3 linked regions of the Schizosaccharomyces pombe genome follow. The protein of the gene in region 1 interacts with the protein of each later gene in a biochemical or structural test. Each region holds a gene or a part of one and is shown on either strand. Other genes may lie near its edges.

The links.
Region 2: the proteins of dom34 (region 1) and sup35 form a complex in vitro, tested with the Schizosaccharomyces pombe proteins (2 studies listed by BioGRID).
Region 3: the proteins of dom34 (region 1) and hbs1 are reported together in a solved structure, tested with the Schizosaccharomyces pombe proteins (one study listed by BioGRID).

Annotation. Positions count from the first base shown.
Region 1 is NC_003421.2:727,395-731,476, reverse strand, and holds dom34 (translation release factor eRF1 family protein), read right to left. Parts: upstream 2,370-4,082; 5' UTR 2,345-2,369; coding exon 2,265-2,344; exon of another isoform or gene 2,212-2,264; coding exon 2,158-2,211; exon of another isoform or gene 2,098-2,157; coding exon 1,799-2,097; exon of another isoform or gene 1,743-1,798; coding exon 1,636-1,742; exon of another isoform or gene 1,588-1,635; coding exon 955-1,587; 3' UTR 648-954; downstream 1-647. Other genes in the region: nucleoporin Nup61, read left to right, coding at 1-5; SPOM_SPCC18B5.05C (phosphomethylpyrimidine kinase), read left to right, coding at 3,464-4,082. UniProt on the Schizosaccharomyces pombe protein: Component of the Dom34-Hbs1 complex, a complex that recognizes stalled ribosomes and triggers the No-Go Decay (NGD) pathway.
Region 2 is NC_003421.2:1,533,569-1,538,511, reverse strand, and holds sup35 (eRF3-like class 2 translation release factor sup35), read right to left. Parts: upstream 3,114-4,943; 5' UTR 3,060-3,113; coding exon 2,930-3,059; exon of another isoform or gene 2,896-2,929; intron 2,847-2,895; coding exon 988-2,846; 3' UTR 501-987; downstream 1-500. Other genes in the region: SNARE-binding protein Sec1, read right to left, coding at 199-239, 278-305; SPOM_SPCC584.03C (GTPase regulator), read left to right, coding at 3,835-4,943. UniProt on the Schizosaccharomyces pombe protein: GTPase component of the eRF1-eRF3-GTP ternary complex, a ternary complex that mediates translation termination in response to the termination codons.
Region 3 is NC_003423.3:2,592,648-2,597,063, reverse strand, and holds hbs1 (translation release factor complex GTPase subunit), read right to left. Parts: upstream 2,720-4,416; 5' UTR 2,601-2,719; coding exon 2,561-2,600; exon of another isoform or gene 2,507-2,560; coding exon 2,453-2,506; exon of another isoform or gene 2,410-2,452; coding exon 725-2,409; 3' UTR 640-724; downstream 1-639. Other genes in the region: M-factor transmembrane transporter Mam1, read left to right, coding at 1-639; DNA-directed RNA polymerase III complex subunit Rpc25, read left to right, coding at 3,894-4,101, 4,218-4,304, 4,356-4,416.

The sequences.
Region 1 (4,082 bases):
ACTAGAAAGCAGTGATTGATTCAGTCACTATTTATTCCTTTATTTTTGGTCTATTAAATGTACATAAATCTAATAAATTTTTCGGAAATATATTGTCAAGATTATCAATTTAATACTGTCATTCGATTTTCATTTGTGGATAGGGATATACACAATCAGTCTTTTACGAAATGTGCATACAAATATGAAATTCCCGGAAGCATACATGCTCTCCAAGTACATTGCCTTTATGGAATATTAAATTGGTTAAGCTAGTCATATCTTTTCTTTTTAAATTTACGCAGAACATCAAAGTTTTACGGAACTGATTTAATTATCCTAATTTTCATCTTATGAATGATTGATAAATTTTTGAGTGAATTTTAAAACTGTTGTATATCGCCAGTGATATATCTTGAATTGATTGATTCAATAATCGGTTTCGTTATTAAATTACTTTTGTCTATATATTGGTTCCGGATTTTCAAACACCTGCCTAGCTTTTAGAAGGGTCAAACCCCCTTATTGAATAAGTATCTTGGCGCGAACTTTTAATAAAATAAGCAAGTAAATGAGCCACTATCAATTTCGAATTGTTAGTTTTTTGAAAAAAGTAACTTCAACAAATACGTTTGTAGCGAATTTATCGCTTAAAGTTGATTTTTTTACTGTAATTGAATACTGTATTGGACCGGCTATAATTAACAGCTTAATTTTACAAGTTAAGAGTTATAATCGATAAGTATAAATCATTTTAGGGTATCAATTTTTGACCATTCTAACACCTAATTTTTTGCATGTTTATCATAGTAAATACCCTAAAACATCCAAGTAAAAGCATAAATAATGACTACCAAAACGAGCCCATAAATAAATTTTTTAAGAGAATGAAACAAATTGTTCTAACCGAGCTTAAAGTATGAAATATTGGCTTAGCAATAATTAGATTCATGACAATTCGGATACTGATGAACTTTAACTATGTTCAAAATTTTGGGATTCCTCATCCTCTTCATCTTCTGATATATCCTCTTCATCGACTGGGTAAGTGAGAATGGCGGCAATACCTGACAACAGATCCAGCTGCTTCCCTGACTCATGCAAACTACTGAAAATATAAACAGGACAGTTAATCTCCTTAACACCTTCTACTAATGAAACCCATTTTTTTCTAGTAGCAATGTCAGAACTCCTGAACAGAGAATCGCTAATCAGAAGTTCTCCGATCGCGCCAAGTTCAAAAGCCTTCAAAACATGATTTGGACCATACCATGCCTTTCTATCATCTTCATTCATGACATCGTAAAATTTATTCAGAACGCGAATTTCTTGTACGTATTTTGTGTCGGCTAGTTTTGATTCAACAGCAGGGTCCTTCAAAATTTCATTAAGGGAATGAATATGACCAGTGCTAGAATGAAGGATGACAAATTTATTCTTTGATTTAACAATTTGTTTCAAGTCTAACTTCACGGCCATGCTGAATATGTAGTCATACAAGCCTCGAGCCACAAATCCTGGTGAAGCAAGAATAACGACTTTCAATTTATCAAAATCAAATTCTGAGTTAATGGATTGAAAAACAGAGTCATAAAATTTATCAAGGCCCTAAAAAATTGATCAGTACGGACGAAAAATCAAAGTCTAAAAATTTACCTTTTGGTAAGCGCTGCTGTCCCCTCTCCGTTTCCTTGGAATCACTTGATCAATCCTTTGACGCAGGATGGTCATATAATCTGTAATGAGACAAATATTGGCAAGACCTGCAAGTCAGTAAACATGCACGAACTAATAAAGCGATGTAAGCCAAGAAATTTACCTTCATCTAAAACCACAGCACCTATTTCAGCATTTCTTGAAGGATTACAAGCAGCATCTACACGGTCCAATGCAAATGCATCCCATTCATTTTTATATAGAGTAAAATTGCGATGTAGTTCTAAGTCCAAGGTATGGTAGGATCCCATCTTAACTTCAGGATGGTATTCAGTTGTCCGTCCTTTGATGTGCAATTGAGCAGCCTTTGTATCAAAGTCCATATTCTCAACTAAAATACGTAGTTTCATCACAACTCTTGAACCTGACGTACTTCCTGTAGCGCCAACTTTCACTACACGACTAAACAACAGAAAAAACAGGTGTTATTATCGAACATTGAAGATACACTTTATTTCATACCGAACTGTAGAAGCCTTCAGCTGATCTCCAACTTGAAGAATATTATACAAATGCCTAAACTAAGTTAGTTTGTGCATTGATTGCAGATATACAGCAACCAGGCATACCACATATCTTCTGGCTCTTCAGGGCACATGGTTATCCATCCGGAGCCATTTTTTTCGATGTTTTTTTGAATCAACTTCATATTGAATGTGGTTGACGAAGAATTTAAGTGAACAGGAATTTTTTAGGCTATTTTGACTGACATAATATCTCGAAATTTTATTCTATATAATTATCCTTTTTATAGTAATAATTGTTCAAGTCATAAATATGAGTTCTTGACAAAAGTATTTTGCTAACGAGGTAGTGGTATTAATACTTATTGCCATAGATAGTCGTGTATATGAGCAAACTGTACAACAATTTGAGTTGGCCATATACAAATTCATATTCTTTCATTTACTAATAACCACCCAAACTAGTTAAAATGCCTTAAAATTTTTCTCTAAATGGGTTTGCTCGGCATTCCAAACTGATTAATACTTAAACTCCTGGAAAAGACCATAAAAGACTTTCTTCAATTAAAAAAAATTTTATTTAAAAAAATTTCTTCAATTTACGTTGAAAACTGTGATATACCAATGTTCACCATACACGAGGTATCATGGAAGGAATAGAATATCGTTATTAAACACATTTCATGGTATCGGAGTTGGGGCATATTTTTTTAAATTTGCTTCGTAAATTCATGTAAACAAACTTTGGAATCAAAATCCATTGTGCCAACGGCATTTCCAATTTATTTCTTCTAATATTTCTTGAACATTTACTTAGTCGGACTAGTCGCTTATCTTACCTTTATTTTAACGTAAAATTAAGCGAATACTCAAATCCGCTTAAGCAAAAATTATTACCTTCTCTCGCATACTTGCTTCCATCGATTTGCATGTAACCTTGCTTCTGTATGCCGTTTAAATTCCGGCCCACATGTCGCAGTTTCTTTTGATTCTTTCTTTTGTCCTCTCCCTCTTTCTCTAAATACACAATAATTGTGGCATATCTTTAAAAGTCTTTGGAATAGTAGATTTGACCCTTCATTAGGGAATGTTGAATTACAGCAAGCTTGCTGTAGGTTTGAAAACCATAATTTGTTTTTAAAACGATTTTTTATTTGGTAAGCGAAATTCTGCGCTTCTTGTTGTTTTTTTATCCTTCTTTTTTCGTGCTTCGTTCAATTGTCTGAGCACATATTTTTGTTTTCTTTAAAATTGTGTTTTTTTTTGTTACGACTTGCTGTTTTGATTTCTTTCAACACTACAATATGGAAGCGAATCAATCCCATAATGCGAAAACGAATCACCCAACTTGTCTTACAATTGCAGGTTCAGATTGTAGCGGTGCTGCGGGAATTCAAGCAGACTTGAAAGTGATGACAGCTCACCAGGTGTACGGAATGAGCGTATTAACTGCGCTTACATGTCAAAATTCTCATGGAATTACTGGGATTTATCCCCTTCATCCTAGTTTAATTCAGAGACAAATCGATGCTTGTCTCAGCGACATTCAGTGCAGGGTTGTAAAAATTGGTATGCTTCCTGATCCCAAAAGCATACCAGTTATTTCGCAGGCACTGACAAAATACAAAATAACCGATGTCGTAATGGATTCTGTGATAATTAGTAGTATGGGAAATGTTATGTGTGAAACACCTACCATTCCCGCTACTATACAGCATCTCTTCCCCCATCTTCTCGTTTACGCATCCAATGTAATGGAAGCCTTTATACTCGTTGAAAAGACTTTAAAGAAGTCACCTCCTCCTCTAAAGTCGTTTCCTGATATTCAAAATCTCATGTCCATTATTCATCGGCTAGGACCCAAATTTGTTGTCCTGAGAGGCCATCATGTTGCTTTTGACAAAAATATGATGATTACAGAAA
Region 2 (4,943 bases), 810 kb from region 1:
CAAACCAAAAGCCAAAGATGTGAAACTGAACGGCTCCAAATTAGAAATAGGCCAATTTTGATAGTTTAAAAAAAATATGTCGGAGGAAATAATATGCTGCATATTCACAAATTCAATTCCATTTAAACAATATCCAAATCAAAATTCCCAGTAAACATTTCAGTGCACGTTATAAGTTTCACGGGTTCCATCTCTTACCTTCGTAGCACATTCTACTGAATTAATTTTGCTAAGAAACACTTATTTGTTAGTAATACACCAGCACAAATAACCATACATTCTTTTTGGAGCTCCAGCAGTGTCATCTCAAAACGTCAATGTCCCGTATTCCTAAACGGAATAGCAAAAACTATACCTTTCAACACTTCAATGCTTACTCTTAAAACCAAGCAACGTCAAAAGAGTACGTGAAATTCGGATACGGTACAGAAATGCTGGTGGAATGTAAACGGTAGAATGATCGGATTACTGTAAATATGATCCACCTCGGTATTTATTCGGTAAGATTTGGTGTAGTAGCACAATAAATTTCAGTATATCTAGTGATTTAAATAAACTATTATTTTACAATATTATGAAGATTTCAAGTGTAGTTTTAATCATTAATATGGATTGTAAAAAAACAACAACTTATTATCACATTTCACCCTTCCATAGCTGCAAAGTGCAACTGCTTATTTACTATTTGCTGACCTACTCCTCGCATTGAATTCTGTACGAAAAAAGTAAATAATTTCAAAGTGAATAGGGTGTAAAGGAGTGAATGTCCATTATTCTTCATATATACAACCCATCGCATTGAAATTAGGCATAGTAATACGCGTATATAACGATTAGATATACATCTTCTACCATACCGCTAGTCCACCAACTAAAAAATAAGCAAATCCCATTTTGTCCTAGTTGGATTATATACAGTAGAACCATAAAGTGTCATACATTTGCATAGAAACAAATCCCGAGCACGAGAAAATTGCCGAAATTACCCTAATCCAAAATTTTTACGACTTTGCCAACTGCAACCGTAGTACCCTGATCACGCAAAGTGAAACGGCCCATATACTGATAGTCCTCAAACCTTTCCATACAAACCGGAGTTTGTGTTTCCAACTCTGCAATAATTTTCATACCCTTGGTAGCAAACATGGGGGGTTTCTTGCTTTTGCGGTTTGTTTTGTCAAGTTTATGGAGCAACTTGGCAAATGAAACTTCCTCGACAGCGGTATGAATGTGCATTACACAAGAATAACCAGTTGTCAAAATTGAAGGCAACTCAAGGATCGCAATTTGTGCAATGAAACGAGTAGTAGCATGAACTGGGTTTTTAGTGGATGTTAAAACATAACCAGTTTGGACATCCGAATCGTCACCACGGACACGGAGACGAACTTGGTCACCGCAAATAGAAGAAGAGATTTCTTCATCAGCTTCATCATATATGGCTGTAACTTCAAGGGTTTGATTAATTGGCATAACCAATACGTTTGAATTTTTCTTAATCGAACCAGCCTCAATCTTTCCTTCTAAGATGGTACCCAAATCTTTATACTTGGAGGCAATAGGCATGATGAATGGAGCATTCACTTTGCGTTCCAAATGAGTCATAGAATCCAAGTATTCTAGCAAAGATGGACCTTGATACCACGGGCAAACCGAACTGTCAACACGATCCTTAACGTTTTGACCAGTGTAAGCAGAAACGGGCATATATTTAACATCAGTCTTTGAGTTGTATCCAGCGACACGACGCAAAAACATGCTGAGCTTATCGACACATTCCTTATAACGCTCCTCCGACCACTGAACGCTAGGTTCGTCCATTTTATTAATAACGACAACTAGATGATTGATGCCTTGTGTACGAGCCAATACGGCATGTTCACGAGTTTGACCACCGCGCTCAAAACCAGCTTCAAACTCACCACGACGCGCTGAAATGACTAAAACACCAATATCAGCTTGAGAAGCACCATTAATCATGTTTGTAACGTAACCTTTATGACCCGGAGCATCCAACAAGCTAAAGCGACGGTGTTCGGTTTCAAAGTAAGCACGACCAACTTCAACGGTTTTACCTTTTTCACGTTCTTCAGAAGTGCTGTCCAAAGCCCAAGAAAGATACCAACTTTCTTTACCAGCTTCTTTAGCTTCTCTCTCTATTTTCTCCATAGTACGCTTGTCAACCATACCAGTCAAGAAAAGAATATTACCACCCAGGGTAGACTTTCCTGCATCAACATGACCTATAAAAACAATATTGACATGTTCCTTTCCATACATATCCTTCAAAAGCTCTTGATCAACCTCATTTTGTAAATCGGTGGCATCCTCAGTGACAGTGGCGGGTTCAGCTGCCTCAGCAGCTTTCTTAAGAGCCGCTGCTGGAGCAGAGGGTGTTTTTGCTAGTTCAGCATCAGCAGATTTTGTAGGAGTTTCCTGGGGAGGAGGAGCAGCGGTCTCCTTCTTTGTTGACTCAGAGGTAACCTTGGGTGCAGGGGTCTCTGTTTTGCTTTGTGCAGCAGGTGCTGCTGGTTTGGTAGTTGTAGGAGCTTTTGTTCCACCAAGGCTGATGCTAATGGGCTTTGTAGACTTAGGAGCAGAGGTGTTTCCACCCAGGGACAAAACCTTTCCTTTGGGAATTGCTGGTTTAGGAGGCACAAAACTCTTCTTTTTAGAAAAATCAGGGACACGGCTTTTATCTTCATCAACAGTGTTTCCTGTTGGCTTTTGGTAGTATTGCTGATAACTCTTCGTAGGATGTGGCGAGTTGCTGTTTTGTCCTTGGCCTGTATATTGGGCATAAGGATAACCACCAGCAATATTGTTCACAGGTACAAATCCGGGGCCTAGCAAGAAGTTAATAATTTTTTTACTTAAAACAAGCAATCATCTCAAGACATATGGATGGTGTTCTAATTAAAAAACGTACGTTGGAAAGAAGGAATGAAGGGAGCAGCTTTAGGCGTAAACGTAGGTGCCTTTGCAGACATCGACAGTTTAGAAGTCTGCTTGGCGAGTTGCTCATCCTGTTCACCGTTATTTGGCTGATTACTAGCCATTTTTTGCCTTTATTAAAATATGTGGTAAAGGGACGGTGATGTTGAAGAGAATTTACACCACAGTATACACTGTGTATTCTTTTATAATATAATATTACGAGTACTTACGATGATATTATTAGCATCCTTTATATAAGCTTGTGCTATAGTAATTCAGTTAAGTTCATAAAATATTATATTTGAGTTTAATTTTACATTTGGTTGTAAAATCGGAAGCAACTGAATTGTAAATTGGTCATTTTCTCGCTTTTTTCTTCAGTAATACGCTATTATTGTCTTAAACAGGTAAAATATATTGACTTGCCTTGGGAGATAAAAAACAGAAACTTCGGTGGGCTTAATACCAAACACAACATTTATTAGCTATTGGGTTGAACAATTAATCAAAAGTTTTTAAATCTATTGGTTAATTAGTCTCCATTGTCACCAATAATCACTGCAAGGATTTTGTCATGGAAGAAACGATGAATCAGCGTTACAGCTTCAAAATATATACCAAGCAAGTTCCAAAAGATTCAATATGTAAATCCATTATATAATTATTCACTTTAGGATTTCCTTATACAAAATTCTATAGGCGTGTTTGGATATTAAACTTCTATCCTCCACATATCACTATGACTTAGCGCAAGTTCTATTTGGTTCTCAATTTACTACGCTTCTTTTTATTTCGTTATTAATTTGTTGTTAAAAGGAATAAATACAATTTGAATGACCATTATTTATTTGTTTAGCCTTGTTTTCTCTTGTGTTTTTTAAAGCCGCCTTTTTAGAAATGGATGAATTACTTAATGTAGCTTCTCATGCTGCGACATTTGCTACGAACTTCGCGTTGAAACATAGTATATCATTTGCAGGAAAATTAGCTGTTCAGCAAGTTAGCAGCTATATTAAACGTGCCTCTGCAGATGATCAAAGTGAATTGGAGTCTGTGAAAACTCAACTGCTTGAAATGATTCGAGTTGTGACGCCTGCTATCGAACTAATTGAAATAATGTCAGTCGGTGAAAATGAAAATTTTAAGAGTACTAAGCAATTAGTGGATTCTTTGCACGCTGACATCGAACAATTCACCAAGCATGTTTTAAGCGCCGCTCATTCGGAATTTCCGCCTTCCTCAGAAAAAGAAACTTTGCAGAAGAACGTTGATACGTCTATTCTTCGTGAAATGAAAACTTTACTTCTCAAAATTAATGATGCAGTTCCTCTCTTAAATCTGTCCATCACTACTTCTGGTGCTTCTATTTCATCTTCTCTTCCAAAATCTACTTCATTTTCCCAACTTCTACGAGCTAATTCATACATATATAGGGCGAATGTTGCATTTACTGGAAATGAACCTTTACAAGTTGGCCCCACATTTTTCCTGCGAACTTATAAAATTATAGATAACCACGCCAAGTCTGGTTATATAAGCAATGATTTAGTCATGTGGAAAGAAGAGATGCCTGTTTGTATCGCCAAAATGTTTCGCATGCCTCCTCAACGGTTGAAGTCCAAGGATACGGTTCTAGCCTATGCTTTATCTTTAAAACAATCTTTTGATGATGATCGTTACCATGATGAAGATGAGACTCCTGTCACCAAAACCATTTCACTAAATGATGTGCGCACGCTTTTTTTTAGTTTGTCCGGTAAACTTCTTCGGTTAGATGATGTACAAACTCCCGTATTATTACTCAAGTATGCAGATGATGAAACAGAGTATTCTTCAAATACAGCACCTTCGAACTGGATAGCTTTAGAAGCACTTCCTTTGGTATCAATACCTAATGAATCATTAGACGAATCTGATGAACTTGCAGAATCTCTTAGTGATTCTGAAGCTGCTAGGCTACAGCTTTTAGGCATCAAAAAACAAGAATCCGTTGCAAAGAAAAAGTC
Region 3 (4,416 bases), on another chromosome or scaffold:
ATTGAAGCTAGAGAAAAGGTTGCAATTGTTGGAATTTCTGGATCTGGAAAATCTACTTTGGTAGAACTATTGAGAAAGACTTACCCTTCAGAGGATATTTACATTGATGGGTATCCGCTAACTAACATCGATACTAATTGGTTGCTTAAAAAGGTTGCCATTGTAGATCAAAAACCTCATCTTCTAGGTTCTACAATTTTGGAGAGTTTGCTATATGGTGTTGACAGAGATATTAATTCTGTTATGGATGCACTTGACAAAACTTACATGACTGAGGTAATACAAAACCTTCCTAACGGCTTAGATACTCCTTTGCTTGAATTTAGCAAAAATTTTTCCGGTGGTCAGATCCAACGCCTTGCGTTTGCAAGAGCTCTTCTACGGAACCCCAGACTTTTAATATTGGATGAATGTACGTCTGCTTTAGATAGCAAGTCAAGCCTTCTTCTAGAAAAAACAATTCAAAACTTGAGTTGTACAGTTTTGATAATTACACACCAACCCTCATTAATGAAATTGGCAGACAGGATCATTGTAATGGATTCTGGAATTGTCAAGGAATCTGGCAGTTTCGATGAACTAATGAATCGACATACACATTTTTGGAAATTAATACACCGCGGTGAATGGATTGAGTGATGATGAATTTTAAGTTAATAATTTATTTAATGAAATAATAATAGTATTCTGTCTAATAGTTTTGAAGTGCATAATTTCATCGACTTTAACATAATTCTTTAACAATGCCAGCAGCTACCGTATCACCACTTCTTCTTAGAATAAATCTTCCCAAAGCAGGGCATTCTTCTGCTAGACATAAAGGAAATAATCCATCCAAAAAACTTATACGAACTAATGCGCGCTTCCTGCTTGCTATATGCCTCGAACGTTTATTGTTAACTGTAACAATTTTTAAAGATACCGAAGTCACAGTCCTACCTAAATGAAGGACAAGGGTAGAACCTGATAAAATTGGACCGTGAATATCAAATGTCTGGATTTCAGCAACAAATGATCTTACCCTACGAACAGGATTTTCATAGTTTGATAGTATATCCCCAGGACGAAGTTGATTAACTTCAATGTCAGCCAACTGTAATGTAACTGTATCACCAGCAACAGCCCAAGTCGAAGAAGGATCACTATTACGAATCACATTTTTTACATATGCGTCTTCCTGAGAAGAAACATCATACAAAACTTGATTGACCTGAACATTACCTGCTTCGACCCTCCCGGTAACTGTAACACTACGTGGAGAACGATAAACATCATCGATACTTAGTCTCAACGGTTTCCGATATGGCTTTTCAGGGGGAACCAGCTGATCTAAGGCGCTCAAAAGAGTGGGACCCTTATACCATTTGTAAAGATCAGATGAGTCTTTTTGGATAAGGTTAGTTCCCGAAATCGCAGATATAGGTACAAAATGTACATTACTGGTTTTAAATCCAACCATTTTGATCAAAAAATCAGAAACTATGTTTTTTATTTCTTGGAAACGGTCCTCCGACCAAGACATAAGGTCCAATTTGTTGACACTAACAACTATTTCCGAGATTCCAAGGGCTCGCAACAGATAGGCGTGCTCCCTTGTTTGTCCATTTTCCAAAAAACCACGCTCAAAATTGTTTTGAGAGGAGTCGACAACTAACACAGCAAAATCAGCTGAAGATGCGCCGGCTATCATCCCTGAAATGAAATCCCGGTGACCTGGCGCATCACCAATTTCATAAATTTTTTTATCACTCTCGAAAGTGGTGGAAGCAACATCCATTGTAACACCTCGTGCTCGTTCTTCCTCGGTTGTATCCAACAACCAAGCATACGAAAAGCTACCTTTTCCTGAATTGGCAGCCTCGTTGTGCAACTTTTGCATTGACCGACTATTGATTTCTCCTAACTCAAACATTATTCTCCCAAGCATAGTACTCTTTCCCGAATCAACATGTCCTGTAACAACTAAGTGAACCACGGGTTTAGGATTGGATTGTTCAAATATTTCGGGAACAGATACTAGATCCGTCGGGTTTTGCTTTTTAATTTTCTTTTTCTCCGGTTGGTTATCGCTTTCGGAGGAATTTTTCATCTTTACTTCACCGTTCGTCTGAAATGCTGGTTCATCATTTTTGTTTAGGCTTAAATTTTTAATACCATTAGAAGATTCATCCAATGGATCTTTGGCATCCGCTAAAGCTTCTTTCGATTTGTTCTGTTTTTTTTCTTTTTGGGAATCAGTATTCTGTTTTTCTTTAGCTCCAGCTTTGGAACTAGCCTTTTGCAAAAGATAGTTGACTGATTTCTCTACGTCAAAGTAATAGTACCAAACTGTATCGGCAATTTCTTTTTCTGAAATAGGAACACCTAATAATGTCTCCCTTACTGTGGCTACAGCAGACCTGAATTCCTCTAGATATTGTTCGTTAATATTTTTAAGAAATCATTTACTAACCTTCCTGCTCTTCAGTCAATTCTTCCTCTCCTGGCTCCTCGTCGAGTTCATAATCTAGAAAGACGTTAAAAAAAAATACAAACTATTACAATATCAAATGGTACGAACCATCAAGATCAAGATTTTTTACATCACGATGCCTCGACATATTTTGAATTTGTTATTTTTGCCAAAAGTCAGAAACCAATAAATACTTCTTGTTTTAAAAAAAATGGTTTCTATTGATAAATAATAAATATATGTATAATATTTAAGTTGGCATTTGACACTTTGCTCTAGAGTAAATTCTTGGAAATATTCATACATCATCAGCAGCTTTAGCGAATTTTAGCAATGTCGCTATACTGAATTGAGTGCTGCAACAAGAGTTGTTAAAAATTCTCAACTGTAACAACTGAGTGTTTTAGGGTGGATGCCTTTTATTAAGCCGGACCGGACCCATTCTATTCATTATATAGTAAATTTCTCTCATTGTCTTCAAATGTTTTATGAACTATTGAATTCGGATGAGTAAGAGTAGGGAAAACATAAGTCTGTTTGTAGTGTCAAGTATCAAAAGTTGTTAAACATTAAATTCAAAAATTTTGGCGTTCATGTAACAAAATGAAATATTTAACTTTTTAATGACTAAAAAATGATTTACTTAAGTTTTCTAAACTATGCCAATATTAAAGTTAACAGAATCGTCAAATTTTCAGGAAATTTTAGTATGCCATACTCTCGTTAGATATGTTTGCAGCAATATTTAATTAATTATTTTCCTTTTTTTTATCTTTAAATACTGCTCATAGATATTAACAAAAAATGTTTATTTACAAATATGCTAGAATTTGTAAATAGAAAAAAAAGCTAAAATAGCTAATAATTTTAAAAAATTATTTAGTAGTTCGATTTTCAAAGAATTCTTTCATTAATTATTTGTTTTTACTTCTTAACTGCTCATGAGCATGTATATCGACAGAACACTCAACAATCTTGTTATATTCATCCTTTTAACTATTTAAAATTTATATTAATTCTGTAATAAATTTGTATGTTTGAATAAGCGATTGAAACTTCTACTCATTATAATTTTTCAATTGTAAACAATATTTCATGGATTTGTCTTAAAGCTACTGCGCTAAAACTTCACTGGCCTCGCTAAGTCGTTTAACACGCTTTTCATTAGATCGTTAACTCGCCATGAATGGTCTGGTATGCAACATAATCTTCGTATTCATATTTTTACGCGACCTGGCAAAGAAAGCTGGGCTTGCAGTTAAATTACTTTTTTGAAAGGTTCCTTTTGATTTATGCAAAGTTGTTGACCAAAAGGTTAAGAAATATTTTTAAATTGGATTGTGATCCACTGTTGTATTTCTAATTATTTATCGTTCTATTCAAGTTAAAGATTTTTTCTACAAGGTGGTAAAAACTACGAGTAATAGCCGTTTTATTATTTATGTTTCTCTTGAGTCGGTTTTCAGACATTATAAGCATCCATCCATCCAATTTTTGGAAGCCTACAAAGGAAGCACTGGCTGAAGAAATCCATAAAAAGTATGCTAACAAAGTGATACAAAACATTGGACTGGCTATTTGCGTTTATGATTTTTTGAAAATTGGGGAAGGAATAATTAAATACGGAGATGGCTCTTCATACATGAATGGTAAGTATAAGTCTGCTCACTTTATTTCATATGCCAATTCGCATTATCAATACGAAAGGCTGTCAGGATAGTGATTCAGTGGAAAAGAAAAACTTAAATGGTTCTAATTAGATTAGTGGTTTTCCGCCTTATAATCTTTCGTCCTTTTCGAGGTGAAGTAATGCTGGGAAAAATAAAATCGTGCAGTGAAGAAGGTATTCGGGGTATGTTAAATGTGTTTGTTTAAATGCTTGTTGTTAATGTTTTTCTCCCAGTAACTATTAGCTTTTTTGACGATATTTTCATTCCGAAAGATATGCTTTTCGATCCATGTGT